3 linked regions of the Yarrowia lipolytica genome follow. The protein of the gene in region 1 interacts with the protein of each later gene in a biochemical or structural test. Links are inferred from orthologs where the notes say so. Each region holds a gene or a part of one and is shown on either strand. Other genes may lie near its edges.

The links.
Region 2: the proteins of YALI1_F36760g (region 1) and YALI1_B27254g form a complex in vitro, tested with the Saccharomyces cerevisiae proteins (12 studies listed by BioGRID). The link is inferred for Yarrowia lipolytica from reciprocal best matches to the Saccharomyces cerevisiae genes TIM23 and TIM50.
Region 3: the proteins of YALI1_F36760g (region 1) and YALI1_B17132g form a complex in vitro, tested with the Saccharomyces cerevisiae proteins (4 studies listed by BioGRID). The link is inferred for Yarrowia lipolytica from reciprocal best matches to the Saccharomyces cerevisiae genes TIM23 and PAM18.

What each region holds. Positions count from the first base shown.
Region 1 is NC_090775.1:3,672,392-3,679,959, reverse strand, and holds YALI1_F36760g (uncharacterized protein), read right to left. Parts: upstream 3,913-7,568; coding exon 3,265-3,912; downstream 1-3,264. Other genes in the region: YALI1_F36794g (uncharacterized protein), read left to right, coding at 514-1,725; YALI1_F36781g (uncharacterized protein), read left to right, coding at 1,799-2,485; YALI1_F36742g (uncharacterized protein), read right to left, coding at 4,618-5,670; YALI1_F36733g (uncharacterized protein), read left to right, coding at 6,612-7,481. UniProt on the Saccharomyces cerevisiae protein: Essential component of the TIM23 complex, a complex that mediates the translocation of transit peptide-containing proteins across the mitochondrial inner membrane.
Region 2 is NC_090771.1:2,723,065-2,730,158, forward strand, and holds YALI1_B27254g (uncharacterized protein), read left to right. Parts: upstream 1-2,380; coding exon 2,381-3,781; downstream 3,782-7,094. Other genes in the region: YALI1_B27211g (uncharacterized protein), read right to left, coding at 1-153; YALI1_B27280g (uncharacterized protein), read left to right, coding at 4,920-5,088, 5,137-5,861; YALI1_B27293g (uncharacterized protein), read left to right, coding at 6,300-6,884.
Region 3 is NC_090771.1:1,709,487-1,715,314, reverse strand, and holds YALI1_B17132g (uncharacterized protein), read left to right. Parts: upstream 1-2,068; coding exon 2,069-2,515; downstream 2,516-5,828. Other genes in the region: YALI1_B17112g (uncharacterized protein), read right to left, coding at 2,987-4,102; YALI1_B17105g (uncharacterized protein), read left to right, coding at 4,731-5,828. UniProt on the Saccharomyces cerevisiae protein: Essential component of the PAM complex, a complex required for the translocation of transit peptide-containing proteins from the inner membrane into the mitochondrial matrix in an ATP-dependent manner.

The sequences.
Region 1 (7,568 bases):
GAAGCACGATATGGACCCTGCACATACGAGACACAGGCGATGTGTCTGGAAGAGAGAGGTCGCTAATAACGCCAATACAAGTCTCCCTCAAGCGTCTCGCATGAACCTTGGGAAAAGGTGACTTTCATCGCCGTAGGTAATCAAACGTCTCATCAGCGATTACCTTACAAACTCAACTCAATTGGAAAAAAGAATATACTTACAGTACTGTACACTGTAACAGGGTGTGGGTAAAAAAATGGGCAGATGGATGATGGATATACATCACCAGGCTTCTGTCTATTGATACATGCAACCCCTTGTACCCTTTTTTTCTAATACACTTAGCCACCATTTAATGGTCACCATCCATATGTTATAATGTGCATAAATACCCCTTTTCCAAAACTCGAACCTACAACCTTATGACTCGTCTCTCTCCCATCTGCAGATAAGGGTTTGAGTTTCATAGCAGGGAAAAAAAGTGCATCACATGACCTAGAACATCCATTTTTTTCCATTTTCCAACTTTCCATGAGACCAACGCTACGACTTAGCAACATGGTCAGTTACGCTGGAAAATTGGTACTGGCGCCCATGGTGCGTTCCGGCGAGTTCCCCACGCGGCTGCTCTCCATCAAGTACGGGGCTGATCTGGTGTGGAGTCCCGAGATTGTGGACAAGAAGATGTTGGAGTGCACCCGAGAGTGGAACGAGAAGACCAAGACGGTCGACTTTACTGTCAGTCAGCAGGGCAAGGGAAACACTGAGAAAAAGGCCATTATTTTCCGAACCTCTGAGGCTGAGAGAGACAAGATCATCTTCCAGGTGGGTTCGGCTAACCCCGAGATCGCCGTGGCCGCTTGCAAAATGGTTGCCAAGGACGTCGCTGGTATTGATCTCAACTGTGGCTGTCCCAAGCACTTTTCCATGCATGCAGGTATGGGAGCCGCTCTGCTCAAGACCCCCGATAAGCTGGTTGCTATCCTGGAGGCCTTGGTGAAGGAGGTGGGAGAGCCTTTCAATGTTAGCATTTCAGTCAAGATCCGACTGCTGGAGACGGAAGAGAAGACTCTGGAGCTTGTGGACAGGCTGGCTCAGACCGGAGTCAAAAACCTGACGATCCACTGTCGAACTACACCCATGCGACCTCGAGAACCTGTGATTCGAGATACTTTGGCCAAGGTAGCTGAGGTGTGTCACAAGCACGGAATCACCTGCCTTGTTAACGGAGATGTTGAAGGTCGACATGAGCTTGCTGATCTTCAGGAAAAGTACGGCATCGATGGAGCTATGATTGCCCGAGCAGCCGAGGCTAACGCTTCTTGTTTCAGAGCTGAAGGTATGCTCCCTTGGCAGCAGGTGACCAAGGAGTACCTTGATATCTGTCGAGAGTATGACAACTTTTACCAGAACACAAAATACTGTCTGACTCGCATGATCCCCGGAAAGAGTCCCAGTTATAAGAAAGTGGCTGCTTTGAAGGACTGCGAGAGTCTGGAGAAGTACATTAACGAGCAGTACGAGGAAATGCTCAAGGAGAGGGCCGAGGAGGAAGCCAAAAAGCCTGAAGAGCAGGTTATCAAAGAGGTGGGGGAGAAGGCCACAAGGGAGGTGGAGGAATCTATGGTTTCGAACGTTGAGGAGGCCGTTCAAGAGGCACCGGTTGAAGAGACACCTCTGGCTGCTGGCAAGCATGCTCTGGAGGCTGAGGAGCAGACATCTGCGAAGCGGGTGGCTGTTTAGATCAGGAAAAATTAAGGATTAGGAACTGCTCTTGTTGCATTATAGAAAGACAGTGTTATTTAAATAAGAATGTATGCTACAGTATGATTACACAAAGTGCGGGTATATTTTCCTGTTGATTAGGATGACATCGATACAGATACAAACGAGGCCACCCACAGATTCAACAACTGAAACAACTCTCCAGATGATTACAACGGAGCTATCACAGCACGACACTTGGTCCCTAGGATTGCTCAAGGCATGTCAGTTGGTTTGTTTGGCAACGCTGTTTTTGGTATTGAACGACTTCATAATGAGAGCTTTGGGGAAAGATCACAACAAAACAGACGGCTGGGAACTAAACCATCTTAAAAGACAACTGTGGATTAGTTATGAGCATCAGTGCCTGCTCAGCTCGCAACTAGTTCAAGTCTGTGATATCCAACAGGATGCAAGTCGAAAGGCACAATCAACACAAGCCAAATATGAAGTATACATTGACCAGAACCAGATACCCTTCTTTCGCTCGTACAACTGGCGAGATACCAGGAAACAGCTCTACTGTCCTCAGAATGTTTGGTTTTGTGGTGGCTTTGATGGTACATTTACAAAAGTCTCTACAACCCGAGAGGATGAGCACATCGACGACTACGCTATAAGTAGCAAGGAACATTCAAACGAAGAGTACTTTACCAGCAACGATATCTCAGGTTATGAACACCAGGATGCCTCAAATGACCGGGATGCCTACTTTCAAACTTCACCTGATTACATCTGAACTTCGATGACGATGATGCGAGTTACTATCGTGAAGCACTGACGTTAGCTATAGATGGGGGAGAATGTATTTGATGGCAGATGTGTAATTACAGTATGGAGAATTTAGAAGTAAGCACGTGCACTATTGGTTGGAGTAGATGACACTGAAATTTTGTTTGTAGGGCGAGTACGAGGTATGTACGATATATTGTTTCTTGAACTAAAGTGCAATAATTAGAGGGAATTATACTTATGCCAACGCTTCAGACTGCAAAGTTCCGAGGTTCATGTTTGGTGGTTCTATAATGTTCCACATGATGCAGCATGCATGAAAACTGAGGATCATAATTGCAAACCAGGCCCTACGGCACGAGTATAGGGACACATTGAATGGGTGATATAGTACTATACCAGATAATATCTTAATAATAGGCTCAGATATAATATAACTTCGATTTGTCTTCTCTCCTGGACAATATCCTTTTTGGGGCTCTTCAGAGTTATGGATCCACCTGTAGTTCTGAAGTGAGGTATTGATGTTCGGAAAAGTTCTGAGTCGACTACAAGTACAATACCAGCTGTTTGCTTGATCTTTTGTCTGTGTCCATTAGTTGTACTTGTGCTTGTACTACTTGTCTCGAGTAGTTGAGAATACTCAGCACCTGGACTCTCAAATACCTGAACTACAAATGATGTGCACATATCTACACGAATTATCTCGTTACTCATATATTTTAGGGAAGTCGCCTTACTCTTCGAACAACCGCCCGCGTATGTACAATGTACCTCTTATCGAGTTTACTCAAGAGGAGTCTTCTCAGCAGGAGGACCGAAAACAGCCTGCTTAAATACACACCAAACACCGGCTCCGGCAGCGGTGATACCAGAAGCAATGAGCATAGGTTTGGTTCCTCGAGGGGCACGGAAAATGGCTCCGGCAATGGCTCCAGCAGCAATAGAGTTGAAGGAGTCGTGCTTACCTCGGATGTCGTAGAGAATCTTGGAGTTGATGATGTTGTAAAAAAATCCCAGAACACCCATGGAGTTACCAAGGAAGGGACCTCGCTTGGTGATTGTGTTAAGAACGTGGTTGATTTTGATTTTGGCTGGTGCGCCCTCCTGGACTGTTCGCAGACCTTCCATTAGACCCGAGAAACCTCCGACACCGAGACCAGAGAGGTACAGAACGCCGGTTCCGTAACACAGGTCATCGTTCCATCCTCGAGACGGAAGCAGACCATCGTAGTAAATGGTCTCATTGCCCTCGAGAGTGAAGTACTCCATGCCGGCATCGAGACCAGCCATGGGATGCAGCTTTGTGGTGTCGAGATCAGCGTTGAGGAAAGAGGCGGCGGAGTTGGCGTTAGGGTCCAGGTCGAAGGTCACCTCCCTGACCTCCTCAACCTTGGGCTGTTCCTCTTTCTTCTTTCCGAATAGCCAGGACATAGTTGTTTGATGTGTGTTTTGGGTGGGGTGGATGGTTGACTACAGGCAACTTTTTTTCACTTTCGCAAGTTTCAGGGTTAGGGGCTTGCTTATTAAGAAAATGTCACTTTGTAAAGGTTAGGGTCTGTGTTTGGGGTGAACCGAGACCAGGGGTGGTTTATTTTTCACAGTTGTATAGACTTAACGACTTTACACCTGGAAAATATCATCATAACAGACCCATCACTTGATCTATCCAGTCTCATTGAGTCATTTCGCGACGAGTGAGTGGAAAGAATAAGGTTATATCTCCCAATGAAGAAGAGCTTATTCAGTGGCAGTTTTATGCAGAGTAATTACTGTAGCAGAGTTGGCAGTACGATACAGTGCGATAGCTACAAGGACTCCAATGGTGGCACTGGTAACACACAGTAGTTCTCAAAATTGCCACCTGTCATTGCACAAGAACCAGCAGGGGACAAATATTAAAACATTACCAGACGATAGTGCGGCACCAATTTTTTATAACTGAAACTTCAAATTCCCCAATAGCCGACCCCAACCTTTCAAAAATCAATTTCAATTTTTTTATCTTGTTACATGTATGGCCATCTCTTGTTCAAACGAATTTTATTAAAATGGACATGGTAATATCCATACTATACAGGTATAACTTGTAGATCCAGGCTCTCTTTTTTCAAATATGATATCATTACGTGGTACATTTTAAACAACAATAGCTCGAAGGCCGGTCTTGCCTGCCTCGGTGGAAAGATGAAGGGAATCATCAGGGTTCTTTCCAGAAACGATCACTAGGGACTCGTCGTATTCGAGCTTGGAGTCGTGTAGCTCGTTGACATGCTTCTCAGAGATGGGAGAGCCAAACGAGTAGCCCAGACGACCATCGTACGTGGAGGCAGGGGTCTCTTCAGAGACTTGTCCGGGGCCAGTGATAACATGTCGGATCTTGATTCGAGGGTACACACGGGCAATCTCAGCCAGATCGTCGTGGACAAAAGCGGCATCAGCAGTCTCAGTCTCCCAGATCAGGTTGATCCAAGTGAGATCCTCGGGAGTGTAGATAATCTCGTTGATGATGGGCAGCATGGCCTGGATGCCAGTGTCTCTGCAGACCATGAGCAGCTCCTTAACCATGTTGTGGGTGTAGTAGGGCTTGCCAATGGGGCCAATGACCTTGACGTGCTGGTTGACCTTCATTCCATCAAGATATCGACCGACCATGTCCTCACTGCCTCCCACGTTGTTGTGTTTGTACTGCAGGTTAAGAGGGGTTCGGTTGTGCCGAACGACAATGTCAAAAGATCCAGGTCGGATCTGAATCGGGTAAAAATGCTTGATGGCAACCCCGGCTCCTCCAGCAACCTTGGTGTCCCACTCAATTCGAACACCAATCTGCTGGCCGGGCTTGATGCCCAAAGTGTCTCGGGGAGAGGGCAGATCGATGGTGTAGATAGAGGTGTCATTGTTGATCAGCACCTTCTCGGAAACAGCCATTTCGTAAAGCTTAAGCTTTGAGTGAGCGGTGAGGAACTCGGGATCCTCCTTCTCGAGATCATTGAGATCGTTCTGGCCCCGGAAGAGAGTCGAGCCCGATCCTCGGTAGAGCTTGAGACCAGCCAGGCCCAGAGTGATGAAGATTCCTCCGACGAAAATCAGAGGATTTTCCAAGTAGTAGGCCAGAATGCCCATTCCCATTATCAGCAGAGCCGAGGGAATGTAGATTCCATCTCGGGGAGTGTCGAGAACGTCTTCATCCATTGTTGTGTGGTTGGAGAGTGTAGCTGAAGAAGAATGTTAGATGTTCGGGAATAAAGTTGATCATTCATGCACTCCGGGCATTGGGTCGAACGTGATTTCTGGCTGAAAAGACTTATTTGAGGGCAATAAAAGAGGTATTCACGTCAAAAATTGTTATCAGTATTCATATATTGATTAAAATGCCTTGTAGATACCACTTCAACATCCTTCTCCACGGTCGTGTTTAGCTCCTCCTCGTCAAGTCCGAACATTATAGTTAACCTGCAGCCCACAAGTCTGTCTTTTCAGTGTTGTGTTGTTGTAGACCCGATAAAGCCTCACTTCGGGAGTGGAAGGTTCCAGCGCATGGTAACTGGAGGTCCAAGTGGCTGAATGGCGGCAGTGAGATTGAACTTGGACTTTTCAAAGGTGGAATTAGACTTTGGCCCTTCGTTTAGAGCATTGCAAGTAGACCTACATTGGGCTGACTAATTGTGCGATTCAAAAGACGTGAAAATTAGTGTTCAGAATATGAATTTCCACAGAACAGCCCCCCCCCAAATAATCGAATTGGGGTATGAGTTCCACAGAACCAAAAGGGTATCTAACATCAGAGTACAGTACATACCATAATCATCTTTTATTCAATCCAGTTTCACTAAAAAAAAAAAGAAAACTGCAATTCGGCCTTACACCAAGCCACACTACAGAATTGGTAGAGTTGGAGGGACTGTAATGAAACTGCTCCAACTTCAGAGACGGAATATATCTGGAACATCAATATTTGACTAGAATGGATATCCTCTGAAGTGAATGGCGCATTCCGACCCTTGCCTACACACTTGTACTGTTGGCTACAGTAACATCACAAATCAAGACCAGTCCCAATATGCATCTTCTCTTATCATACTTTATCTTTCTTCCTTCTCGAACCACTCACTTCCCCATTCCACCATCCCGTCATGACTCTCGCAGCAGTCGGCCAATTTTGTGCAACCAATTCACTTACTCACAATGCCTCTATTGTTGCAGGACTAGTCCATAGAGCAGCAGCCCTGGGCGCCCAGGCTCTGTTCCTCCCTGAAGCCTCCGACTACATTTCTGGCTCGCCTAAGGAAGGGTTGAGTCTTGCACGAAATGCTGAAAATTCGCCCATGATCGCAGCAATCAGGGAGGCTCAAAAGGAAATCAAACAGAGCGGAATGTCTGGAATTGAGGTCTCAGTAGGAGTTCATGAGCTGTCCTCTTCTTCTGACCGGGTCAGAAACACCCTATTGTGGCTTGATTCCAACGGAGACATTGTCAACAGATACCAAAAAGTGCATCTCTTCGACGTGGAGGTGCCCAACGGTCCTATTCTGCAGGAATCAAAGTCAGTAGAGCCCGGGTCTGAACTTCCCAAGCCGTTCGAGACCCCAGTGGGAACAGTTGGACCTGCTATTTGTTATGATATCCGGTTTCCTGAGCTGGCATTGTTGTTGAGAAAGCAAGGCGCCCAGATTCTGCAATTTCCCTCGGCGTTTACAGTCAGAACTGGCGCCGCCCACTGGCACGTTCTTGCCCGAGCTCGTGCTATCGATACCCAATGCTATGTCATGATGCCAGCGCTGGTTGGAAAACACACAGAGGACGGCAAGCGAGAAAGCTACGGACACGCCATGATAATTGACCCCTGGGGAACTGTTCTTGCCGAGGCCAGCGACATAGACTCTTCGGCTGCAGTTATTGTTGCCGATATCAACCTAGAGCAGCTGAAGAAGGTCAGGACCAATATGCCTCTGTGGGACCAGAGACGAAATGATGTGTATAGCTTGCTTGAGGTGAAGAAATAGGGCACATTTAAAGTGTGAACGAATGAATGAAACCCATCTTTAGCGTAACAAACGAATAATCTGAGATATTGGCTGAGTAGCATTTTA
Region 2 (7,094 bases), on another chromosome or scaffold:
CAGGCACAACGTCCAAGCCTGGAGAGCGGGGCCGTCTTGCTGGGCCGTCTCTAGGAGCACAGCCTGAAGAGTGCCCTCGTGGGCATCGTCGTAGATGTTTTGCAGTTGTTGCTGGAGCTGCGTCGGGCCGCCAAACAGACTGTAGTTTGCCATGTGTTGATGTTAAAGGGGCGAAGAGTACTGGGTGATTCTGAAACCTGAAATTTGCAGAAACGTCAAGTGCGGTTGCCTAAGTTAGTTTAGCTTAGATATGCAGGCGGGATGGTCCAAGGGATGGAGGTAGAATTCAGAGAAGGTGCAGAAACGCACGAGTTGAAACGTAGACGGAGAGTTGAGGAGGAGGGGAACGGCGGTGGCAGTCGATTTCTTATCGCATCGGTACATTTATCGACTATTTTCTCTCTATAAGAGTACGCCCACTTTTTTTCCACCATCCTGAGCACTCCACTTTTCCAACTATATTTAGAACACTTGTTTTCCAGCAAGTTCTGGCCATGGCAGAAAAACGCATGGCATTCATAAACACACTGAAGAGAGACGTGTTCGAGTGTGACCCTTTTTTTCTTGCGGCAATGCAATGCACTGGGCTGATCGAAAGGTCGAAATATACAGGTGCTCACGTTATCCAAGCCCCAGTTTTAAACGGCTTTTCACTAGTCCACATATGACGGATTGTGCAATTCTCGTACTTGTACTGTAGATTCAAAAGAGCACTTCCTTTAAACACCACTCTACCAGCCTCATTTCCCCACCTCTAACACCACTGTCGTTATAACACAACACGTACTGTACTGTAAGAAACCTACGGCTGTGAGACAAGTGCACATCTGGGAGCGCTCAGCCCCACAAAATGCCCTAACCTTCAGTGACCTCATACGGCTGATAAGCTGCGGTCTTCCGGGTAACAGACACACGGTCTGTATTACGCACAGTCTATACTGACCGCCTTGTCTTGGAGTGGAGGCACGTGGAACAGACCTCTTTTCATGCACCCAGTCCAAACTTTGTCTTGGAACGAAATTGCAGATGATAGGACGAGAGTGTATGGTGGGGCTGTGGTTGTATCACTACTGTCTTGCGGCATATACAGCCTCCGTTGCTGCCAGTTCTGATATTATTCTTCTTAGCAGCTCTCAACTTCTCCCGTTTACGGTTAACCTCAATTCTCTCAGCATGCAGTGTCATTTATTGGGTTTGGAGGTTTTGAGATACCATTATCGCAGTTGTGGATTGGGCATAAGTATATTAAAAAGCTGTACGTACATATATAAGTATTGCTGCTGATGTTGTTTGGTGACAATGTACGCGCGAGTACCGGTAGCAACCAGACAATAGTTGCGTCTGGTGGTATTGTTTTGTCTTGTGTTTCAGAGGTATACAACGCTTCTTCATATCACTCAGCAACCAGCTCCATATAAATGCCGCCCAGTCCCCATGGAACCCACATAAAACCCGCCGATCACTTTTTAGACTAATTACCTAGCTACACTACTCTGAGCCTGTCTATGTTGTATTTGGACCGAATACTTCCCAACTGGTAGCCTCGTTTGCGATGCGAGCCCTTTATGGCTCTCCCTGGCTCGGGTTCCTTGTACTCGTACCTGTGGCTCGTAACATCTCTCGATCATTGTCCTAACCCTGTGTCCCAACCTGGCAACCTACAAATAGCTGTATGGGAGCCATACAAACACTCACGGCTTTTTCTGTGTGCACTGTAAGCTCGCTGTAAGCTCGAAGCTGGACTTGCTATGCAAGGGGCAGTGTTCGATCGAATCAGTGAAGAAAGATAAGGGATTCCTGTAAGTAATAGGTTAAGTACCAATGGCTCAAATAGTTGGAAATTAGTTGGGGTTCTGATAAAGACAACATCTCGAAAAGTATACCAATCTGTAAAGATAGTGACAGACAGTACACTTAGACGAATCACCTCTCGTTATTGTCTTATTTTAGCCCTCAAAATCGACCCTACCTCCCTCCCCAGCATCACCGACATCAAGCCGGTGTCTGACTAAGACAATTACACTTTTGGTGGGAGACGCACTCGATTTCTCAGAACGCATCACTTGACATCACTTTTAGAACCCAAAGGAAAACATGAACCGTCATTTTCACCGTTGAAATTTCGGGGTTAAAGAAGTGTACAGAAAATCCATACGGAGGGCTAAACGACCAACGTAAAGATGAATAGAATGGCGGAAATGGAAATCCTCAAAATAAAAATGTGGGAATACTCGCCACCCAAGCTGCCTTATAACACCCAAGTCCACTGGCTCTCGTCAGTGGCAAATGTCACTCCACATTACCGCCTTGTAGAAGTCTGTAGGCCCCGAAACAAAGTATATTAGATTTTCCACTGCACATTGACTCTTCATCATCCACAATGCACAGTCTACTGCGAGCAGCCCAGATTGCACGGGTGGCACGTCCCGGTGTCAAGCGGGCCATGACCCCCGCCGTGCGATTCTACTCGGACAAAAAAACCGAGAAATCCGACCAACCGTTCCAGAGCTCTTTGCTGAACGACGATTTGCTGGCCCAGGCCGGTATGGACGTTGATGAGTCCAAGGGCAAGAGCAAGCCTGCTGCTGAGGGCAAGTCCGAGGGTGCTGCCGAGGGAGCTACTGAGGACGATGTCACAGACGAGCAGCGAGCCCGATGGGCCGGAACTGCCAAGAAGTCCACCGACCAGACCTCCAAGCAGGAGTCTCGAGAGCGAATTGCCGGCTACGGATACTACGCCTTCTTTGCTGGATCAGCAGCTTTCGCCGCCTACCTGGCCCGAGACTGGGACAATGAGGAGGACAAGAAGAAGCATGATACCATTGGCCAGGGATACACCCCCATGCTCATGTGGGCCCGTCTCAAGGCTCGAATCGGAGACACCTTTTCCTTCTACCGAGACCCCGTGGCTCCCGTTCTTCTCCCCGATCCCCCTGCTCCCCCGTACCAGCGACCTTTGACGCTTGTTATTGCCCTCGACGATCTGCTTGTCCACCAGGAGTGGAGCAGAGAGCATGGCTGGCGAGTGGCAAAGCGACCTGGCGTTGACTACTTCCTGGGCTACCTCGGCCAGTACTATGAGATTGTTCTTTTCTCTTCTCAGTACATGGCCAACTGCGAGAAGCTCATCATGAAGCTTGATCCCTACCACGCCTGGTTCTCCCACGTTCTGACCCGAGAGCACACCACTTACGAGGACGGTAAGCTGGTCAAGGACCTGTCTCTGATGAACCGAGATATGGGCAAGATCATCATCATCGACCCCGATACCGGATGCACCATGAAGCAGCCCGAGAACTCCATCCCCATCGAGCCCTGGAAGGGAACTCCCGGCGACAAGGAGCTGGTCAAGTTGATCCCCTTCCTGGAATGGCTGGTGTCTCAGAACGTGAACGACGTTCGACCCATTCTTAAGGCCTTTGATGGCACCTATCTGCCTGACGAGTTCACCCGACGAGAGGCCATTGCCCGAGAAAAGTTCGAAAAGGACTGGTACGCCAAGCACGGAAAGGACGGCCAGTGGGCCTCCAAGTTCCTGGGTGTCTCCGAGCCCAAGCAGCAGAAGCCTCTGATGCCCCACGACGTGATGCGACGAGAGGGCCAGAAGCAGTACCAGAAGTTCCTGGAGTACCTGGCCGTTGAGGGCCCCAAGCTCAAGGCCGAGGAGGAGCGAATGATTGCTGAGCAGAAGGCTATGGGACCTAAGAACCTGTCGGAGGCTGTCTCCAGCATTGGTTCTCTACCTCCTGTGCCCCAGCAGCCCACTGAGCCCAAAGCTTAGATGTATATAGTATGAGTTAACGTGGCACGATGAGTGATAGAGCCATGAGCGAGCCATGTGTGAGCCATGTGTGAAGCGAATGGTGAAGCGAATGACAACGCGATTGGATAAATGTAGCTGCTGTAGCCGTAGTCCGGGCCTATTCAATCGCTGGCTGAGAACTGTTAGTCACTGCCCCTTCTTCGCTACAAACTGTCTGATGTATGTCTGTTGCACAAGCGCATATATATATCCCGTGTCTGGTGAAGGGAAAGGACGACGGCTGGGGGAAACACAAATATATATCAAACGCGATGTGCACTTTTCATATCAACGACTTGCTGTTATCTTGAGATGAGCCAGATTGACTCTGATCTGTTACCCTGATAACGACGCACCCAGTTTATTTATATCTTCAGTATGCATTGATACGAGCTGCCTCGGTATGAGCCCTGGTATCTCTTTCATCAGACTATAAGTACACACCAAGTTTTTTCCGAAGTTGATGAACATACAAGTATTAGTATGAGTACATTATTCTGGAAGAGTGGCGACGAAACTGTAGTCTCGTTCTTCTGACTTTTCTCGCTTACAGTCCTGAGCCGGCTGAACAGGGCTGAGTTTAGATCCTCCTCATGTCTTAAACTCGTACGTCACATGGTGAGTTATATATAATGGACGATGATGGGCGATGTGAATGAGTAGAACAAAAGTAGTGAGAGGTGTTTAAACAGAACGTGCAAAGCTTCCAGCTGTTCCCTCTCACTTGTCATGCTCTTCTCAAGCAACCCTGTCTTAGCTATTCCCGCATCACTCATCTTAAATGTGTCCGGAGATAAGTAAGCTTCAGCTGCCTGTACAGTTTGCGAGTCCCAAACTATCCAGGCGATAATAATAGTTCTCCATGAGTACATTACCGCGGGTATCTGAGGTTGCTTTTGGGGTGTCATTCTGTAACAGTCTCATCTTTTTATATTGCTCAATGCAAAAATCGCATTTCCAGGTCTCTGTGGGGCCCACCACTTGTCGAAACAGGTGTTGTTATGATGTCGGATTTTCATTTACCCTACTCACGTGACGCCCAAGACATGTAGTACAGAGACTTTAATCAGACTGAACCATCAACAGCTCTGCGAACTTGCCTTCTTACGACCCCACAATGGCCCAGTTCCCGCTGTTTCAGAAATTCCAAAAGGCGATACAGCACCCGCCGGCCCTGTCGCTTGGGCTGCCCATTTTTCTGACCGTCATTTTCCTGTTGTCCCAGCGATATGTGTGGATTGAGGACGACCTGGAGCTGCGAAGCACCGCCCTGACCAATTTCGAACGTGAGTACACCGCAACAACACACCACTATTTTCCCCCTCGCTAACTAGTCAACCGAATCTCATTCTACCCCCTGGTCCATGCCACCTGGTTCCATCTGCTGCTCAATCTTGTGGCGCTACAGCCCATTGTGTCGCAGTTTGAGCGAGTCAATGGAACTGTGCGAACCGGAATCGTGCTCAACATTCTCGCTGTTGTCACTGCCATTCCCTGGTGTCTGTTGTCTATCGGCTTCTTCCCCGATGAGGCTGTCCTGGGCTCCTCCGCCTGGATCTTCTCCTTCATGGGATACTGGGCCATCCGGGAGTCCTCCAAGCAGCCTACCACCCAGCTGGCCCCCAACCTCGTGGTGCCCACTTGGCTTCTACCCATCATCTACCTGGTTGTCATTGCCATTGTCATCCCCAGCTCTTCCTTCATTGGCCATCTGCTGGGACTGATTGCTGGCTGGATGATGGCTCTGGGCTACCTGGACGTACTCATTGAGCCTTCGTCCAAGGTGGTGCTCTGGATCGAGAACAAGATCTCCAGAGTCATTGACCTGATCCCCTCGTCCATCGTCACTTTCTACCGAGAAGAGGGCGCTTTGGACACTCGAGCTGCCGCTCGAGCAGACACCAACCGGTCCCTGTCCGTGTCTGGCGGCAACTTCCTGGGCTTCCAGGCCAACTCCAGCCAGGCCGATCTCGAGGCCGGTACCCGGTCTCGAGGCAACAGCAGCGTTGACCCCACCACTTCTTTCCCTGGAACGGGCCAGACTCTTGGTACCCAGTAAAGGACGATACCAAAATGAACGTAGAACATGTAAACATGTAATGAGCCATGACCTTTTAAGTGAGTTACAGGTGTAGGGTGTTTGTGCGACTGGTGTAATACATGTACACAAGAAATATAGTGCCCTGTATCGTAGATTGACTACTGAAGATCCCAGGGTGGATGGATGATGTACATACCAGCTACACTTTGTAGTATCGATATGAAGCTGGGAACGCACAGTGGGACTATCACGATGACAAAAACTTGAAACCATGCAATTAATTATGTGTACTCAATCGTTCGTCTTCACAATCTACCTCTGTATCGTTCTCTCTCTCTATGATCGTTGCCCCCTTCATCTCAGAATCAAAGTTCGGGATATGCATGTCAGAAATTTTTCTGTTATCTCGCAACTACACCTGCACATTCCCCAGAGGACATTATTGGACCAGCTAACATGTTGACAGAAGACCAGATTGACGACGTCATGTTCGACGCCCGAGGAGGCGAGCTCGAAAGCATTGAAAAGTTCTTCTCCGCTCAGGACAAGCCCCTTGAGACCCTCAAAGAGGTCAAGGACCAGTACACAGAATCCACCCCTCTGCACTATGCCGCTGCCAACGGTCACATTGACGTTGTCAAGTATCTGCTTGGTTTGGTTGCAGAGGATGCCGAAGCCCAGGCCGCTCTCATTTCCGCCCAGAACGACTCGGGCAACACAGCTCTGCATTGGGCAGCATTAAACGGAAACCTGGACATTGTCAAGCTGCTGTGTGAGGCCAAGGCCGATCCCTTCGTCAAGAACCAGAGTGGACAAGATGTGCTTTACGCCGCCGAGAACTTTGACAAGGAGGATGTCATTGACTACCTGCTGGAGAACTATGATTATGCACCCAAGGAGGATGAGAACATCAAGATTCGATATGAGGATGAGGCTGACGAGGCTAACGAGACTGACGAGGCTGACGAGGCAAAGGAGGAGACCGCTGAGGATAAGGAGACTGAGGAGGTTACTGACACCCTCAAGACCACTTCTGTTTAAGCACATAAAAGGATATTTAATAGATTGTATGATTGATAGAGTTGTGTGTGTGAATGTGCTTGGTAGTTGATGTGTTGTTGACTCATGGACCTTGTGCCTAACGGCAGTAGAATGAGCACAGTATTGCACATTACTGTAAGGCTGGAGTCGGCGTATCACTTCTTTCATCGTAATCACATACTTGAGCGAGTACAAGTAGCTACTGTACTT
Region 3 (5,828 bases), on another chromosome or scaffold:
AATGGTCAAAAACGACAAGTGTACATAATCTACTAACCGCGCCTCCACCTGCGCCGTGCAGAACAGTGAAGGTACATTAAAATTAAACACAAAATTCAATGCTGCCGTATGTTTTGAGGAGCGCAAAAGTGCGGAAAAGTCACGTGAGGCGTTTGTGTACGCTCCCAGGGAATTTTTATTACGGGAATGGTTCTATGTCTTGCAATGCGTATAGTAAGTGGCGCCACGTTCAAAGCCGCTCAGCACATTCTCAGCTAGTATATCTCGATACGAGCTGACAACAAGGAACATATTAAGCGAATTTGAATTTAAACGAGCAAAAATGAGCTTAATTGTGAAACAAATCAAACAAGGGACAAGAAACATGGCGAAATTCGGTAAAATTCATAGAGAGGAAGAATCTGATGGGAAACAATATCTGATATAATCTGAAAAAAAAAAAAAAAAAAAAAAAAAAAAAAAACACTACAAGTACAGGCCAATATCCCCTATTTCCTATTCTACGTTGGAGTGCCGTGTATAAAAAGGGTCCAAAGTAGCTTCGTAACCCCAAAAGCATACCCTGCCTGGATAACATGTTACATGCCACTATGACATTTGATGAGGACAAAGACATCACAGACGAGTATAGAATATACATACCGGAGGAATTGTCACGAAGGTCGCGACGGCAAATGATGGTGCATACGGGGGTACTTGAAAAGGTCGAGTGAGATTGAAGATGCTACAGGCCATACGTCTGTGTACATACTGGTGTGGCGATGGGAATTAGGGACTGTGGTCCCATACATGTACCACAGCACAGAGAAGGGATCTATGGTGTTAGAAGATAGCTCATCTGATAATCACATATACAGTATCATATTCTCATACCATGTTGTAACATCAGTTCCCCCAGTGCCTTAGTGCCCATTTTTCTTGATGTAGCTACAGAAATCGATGCTAATATGTACAACACTTGATGTTATCATCAGGATGCCAACTTGTAACGAACTCGACTCTTGCCACTACTTTTATCGCCGGTACCACTAACTGGATGCACCAGAATGGCAATTAGCCTGTGGTTTGGTCACTGGTGTAACTACAATACTCGTGCCTGTAGTTAGACCAAGCTCGTAAATCAATGATACTGTAGCATGTCCATCAACTTATAGTCTACTGTAATAGATTGTGCGCGATCTACAGTGCACTGGTGATATTCTAGTAGCTACACTACAAGCTCTAGCTACCTCTATAAGCTCCAGTACATTCAGCTGTGGTCAACTTACCAAGATCAGGTACATCTTAGATCTCGTACTAAGTCACCGGCTCAGGAAATTGGGACATCTCTTCGTTTATATCGTCCTCACGACTCTCCAGTATGATCAACCCTTTCCCTGCACACACACAAAACTCAACCCCGCTTAATAAGGGCGTTCGGAGATACTGCGGGACAGGTTTTGTGGGGGATTCTAATGACACAAGAAAGAAAACACCGTTCTAGAATGGATGTGGGTATATTTATCAGCTTTAAATAATCAGAGCCAATTAATAGATCCCATAGACACCTATATGATTGCTGGAAAAACCCATTCATTCGCCATCTCTATGTATTAGAGTTTAGGATTGTTATGGGGAGAGATTTTGGGGGTTACTTATACTCAACTAAATTGGGTGTCATTTTGGGTAAAAATTGTTCTGACAGAAACAACACACTTCCAATATATTATCTGTGAAAATTTATTCCAAATAGATCTACTATTAAACGTCTTATGAGCATCCCGAAGTTGAGATCCGCAAAGCTTACCTCATTTTAACCTCGGTATTTAGTTATACTCGATCACTTTACACGGGGACGTGTGATAGCTCCTAAAGGGAAAATGTGGTATCATTATCGTACTCTTCTCGTTTATAGAAGCACACTGGTATGTTCTAAATTCCCTTAGCACACCTACATCGTCCCCCAAAGTCTTCCCTGTGTCTTCTGCATGCTGCCAAAACCAACCACCCAAATTCGAAACTCAAAGTATATTTTGGTGGTGAAAAATTGAGTCTGACATCACCACTCACCACAGCACACTACACAACCATGAGCACTACCCCCGTCCAACCTCTGCAGTCGGAGCCTCTGATGGACTCCGAGACCGGCGTCGCTCCCCAGATCGAGGCCCCCCAGGTCCCCGAGGGCCCCAAGAAGGGCATCGACGAGCAGATTTTCGACTACTTTGCCGAGCACCCTGTCCAGGCCACTGCCGCCACTCTGGTCGGTCTGTATGCTCTGGGCGCTGTTTTCAAGCGTCCTGCTGCCGGCGCTCGAGGCCAGTTCTTCAAGGGCGGGTTTGAGAACAAAATGGGTCCCTCCGAGGCTCTGCAAATTCTGTCTCTTCGAGACGCCGGTCTGACCATGAACAAGCTCAAGGGCCAGCACCGAAAGATCATGTTGCTGAACCATCCCGATCGAGGCGGATCTCCCTACGTTGCCACCAAGATCAACGAGGCTAAGTCTGTTCTTGAGAAGCGGGGAGGACTCAAATAAACAACATGATCGAAGCAAATGTTGTGTGTTACAGGTGTGTTTCCCCTTGTGATGCTGACTCACAACGGCTTTAACCACCAGTAACTGCGGAGCATCATTGCAAAGGGCAATAAGAAGGATGTATATAGGAACGGCGGACGCCAGTACGGTTGTCCGTTGCTAATGAGATTGATGGATTTGAATAGTGTGTAGAAGAGAACATATCATTGTGAGGTCGACACATTTAGTTTGCGTGTAATGGCCCAGGGTGTATTTATTGCAGTCTTTCGAGTCTGCTGTTGTTATAGATTGCGTTTCTGTGCTCGCGAGTATTCTGGAAAGTTCCATGTCACGGATCAGTCTTAGTCAACCAGGCATCAATACCAATATGAACTACCAGAAGCCACCAGTACGGTCTGCATGCGTATTTCATGTTTATATTATCATCTACTTGTCTCCTCTGACACCTGCCATCAGAGAGTTCGAAGCACTCTACGTTTTGGTGAAAATACACACCACATCTTCGTCTCCAATCTTGTGCGAAAGACCACATTTCTGCGGCGAGTGCTTGGCCGACACACCCCACACCAACGCGTACTTGAACTTGTTCTTCATGTCTCTGTGAATAGTGTCACAGACATCCTCGATAGTGTTGTGAGTGGATCTAACCACGGTGGGTTCAGCGAAGTCCGGAAGCTCTCCCTTTCGTTTTGTGTAGATTCGTAGCATGGCGAGGTCGGCCCAGATTCGTTCCGTCAGATCATCGAGACCCAGCTCCATGGATGCAGAAATGACCACGGTGTCAGGCATGTGAGCAAGCCGGTCGACCTCCTCCAGAGACACAGCGTCACACTTGTTGTAGCAGTATAGACACTTGATGTAGGATCTGTGGTCGGCGTGGATCACGTCGATCATATCCTCGACCGTCACGTTTTCATCTCGGATCAGCACGTCGGCGTTGTGGATCTTGTAGTCCTTGAGCAAGTGCATCACCATCTTCTCCGAGAGGTACTTGGGCGGGTTGGTATAAGAAAATTTGACGCCTCCTGTCTTTTTAATCTTGAAATAAATGTTGGGCGGCTCCTTGTTAAGTCGGATGCCCACAGACTCGAGTTCTCGCTCGAGAATAGCACGCTGCTCCTCAGGCTTGGTAGCATCCAGAACCATGAGCACCAGGTCGGCAGTTTTAGCGGTCGAAACAACCTGTCGACCTCGACCCTTACCCTCGGAAGCACCCTGAATAATACCGGGCAGATCGAGAATCTGGATCTCGGCTCCATTGTACTCCAGCACACCAGGAACTGACGTCAGGGTAGTGAAGGCGTAAGCAGCAATCTCCGACTTTGTGTTTGTGATTTTGCCGAGCAGTGACGACTTTCCAACAGAGGGGAAGCCAATAAGAGCCACTCGGGCATGTCCAGACTTGCTGACCTCGAATCCTTCTCCCTTGGAAGTCGAACTTCCAGGAGCAGGCTCCAGAAGCTGTTGTCGATATCGAGCGAGCTTACCCTTGAGCAGACCAACGTGGTACTCGGTTGCCTTGTTTTTCTGCGTCCGAGCCAGCTCCTCCTGGATCTGTGTGATCTTTTCTGTGATTCCGATAGCCATCTTTGGGGAAAAAGAGTTGTGCCGTTGTCGAGATACAGTAGTTGAAATTTAAGAGTAGCTTTTCACCTGCATGTATTAGAGTTACACGTACTGTAGGTGGAAGGCGTAAGGGGAGAGGATGGATAGCAGGTGGTTGTGGTTGTTTTGGGGGGTATACAACTATTAAGGAAGCTGAATTATTCTATAAGGAAACAAAGGTCGATCCTCATTGATAAACTTCTCATTGATACTATTCTGGTCCTCGTAGCGAGAACAGGTCTGATCACATTGTATGTAAGAAAATACAGTCATAAGTGGGAATCGAATCAAAGACACATCTTAGTCATCCTGATACTTGACTTCCTAACTAAACTTCAACAAATACCTCCTGTCGAAATCAAACTTATAGAACTTCCTCAAATTTCAATATAATCCATAATAATAGCCCCATACCCCTTAATTCGGTTTCTTGGTACTTTCCCTCGTTAATTTATAATCTCACCTCTCCCCTACAAGTACGAGTACCAAGTTCCATTGACTACCCACACCACGCCGCTCCGACCCTAACCCCAAAATTCAGCATGCATAACTCCATTACATGTAACACGACACAACGCATCACTCCACGCTACGCACTACAATAGCAATCATGTCTCTGTTTCTCGAAACAGCAAAACTCACAGCCAGTGCGCAAATACACGCTCTTGAGACGCTTCTGGCGAGCTCTCCAGCCTTCTGCGCCTCTCAAAAGGAAGACATTTTGCACATTCTTCTGGTTCTCACTCCAGAATTGCTGGATCCAAAGGAATACATGGGGCTCGTCAACAAGGTGGGAAAGGGGCAATTGGACAAGGGACAAGATACGGGTAGTGTGGTTGGAGATGAGGGATTCATTCCAGAACTCGTGATCAAGTCTCGAGAACAAAAGCTGCTGGCATACCTCGATTCAGTGGTACCCAAACCTGTGCACAACTTTCTGGAGGAACGAATCCGACTCGTGTTCAAGGTATCACATGATACGCAGTTGATGGAGCAGCTGATCCTGCAGAGTGGTTACCACAACAACTCGGAGGAAGTTGATTGGGTGGCAGGCGTACCCCAGGTGCTCATCAACTACACGCGTCTACATGGTATCAACCCTGGGTTGACAATTGATGAGCTGGAGAACGGAGATCCTTCCCACGTGATTGAACTTCTGGGCTCGCATCTGAGAACGCCCTCTGCTGAGGACGACTTGCAGCTTGTGTTGGAGCCTTACGTTGCTTACAAAAACTGCTGGGCTGTCTTCCGAGATTTTGTGAGTCACGTGACACAATCCAATACACCTCTTTTAGCTACTTTGGCGCATAACGTGACTTTCCCCGAGTCCGAGCGAGATGCTTTCATTCAGATCGTGTTGAAGAACTCTTTTGAAGCTAACGATACTCAATGGGATGCTCTTGCTCTGATCACAGAGTCTCCTGCGGTTACTGGAGCTAGTCATTTGACCAGCCATTTCACGAAGCAGCTTGTTGAGACCTGCCGGTTGTTGGAACCTGCTATTCCATCTATCACCCTTCAACGGGCTAATAAGGTGACTACTTCTGGGGAGGAAGTTCAAGTGGATCTTCTGGATGACTTTGTGTTTGCTGAGGACTGGTTAAAGCGTACCTCTGACCAGTGGCAGACCTTCATTACTGCCACAGAGGTTCTCGTGTCGCTGAAGACTGTTTTCAGCACTCTTTCCGATTCCCAGGTTAATCAGAAG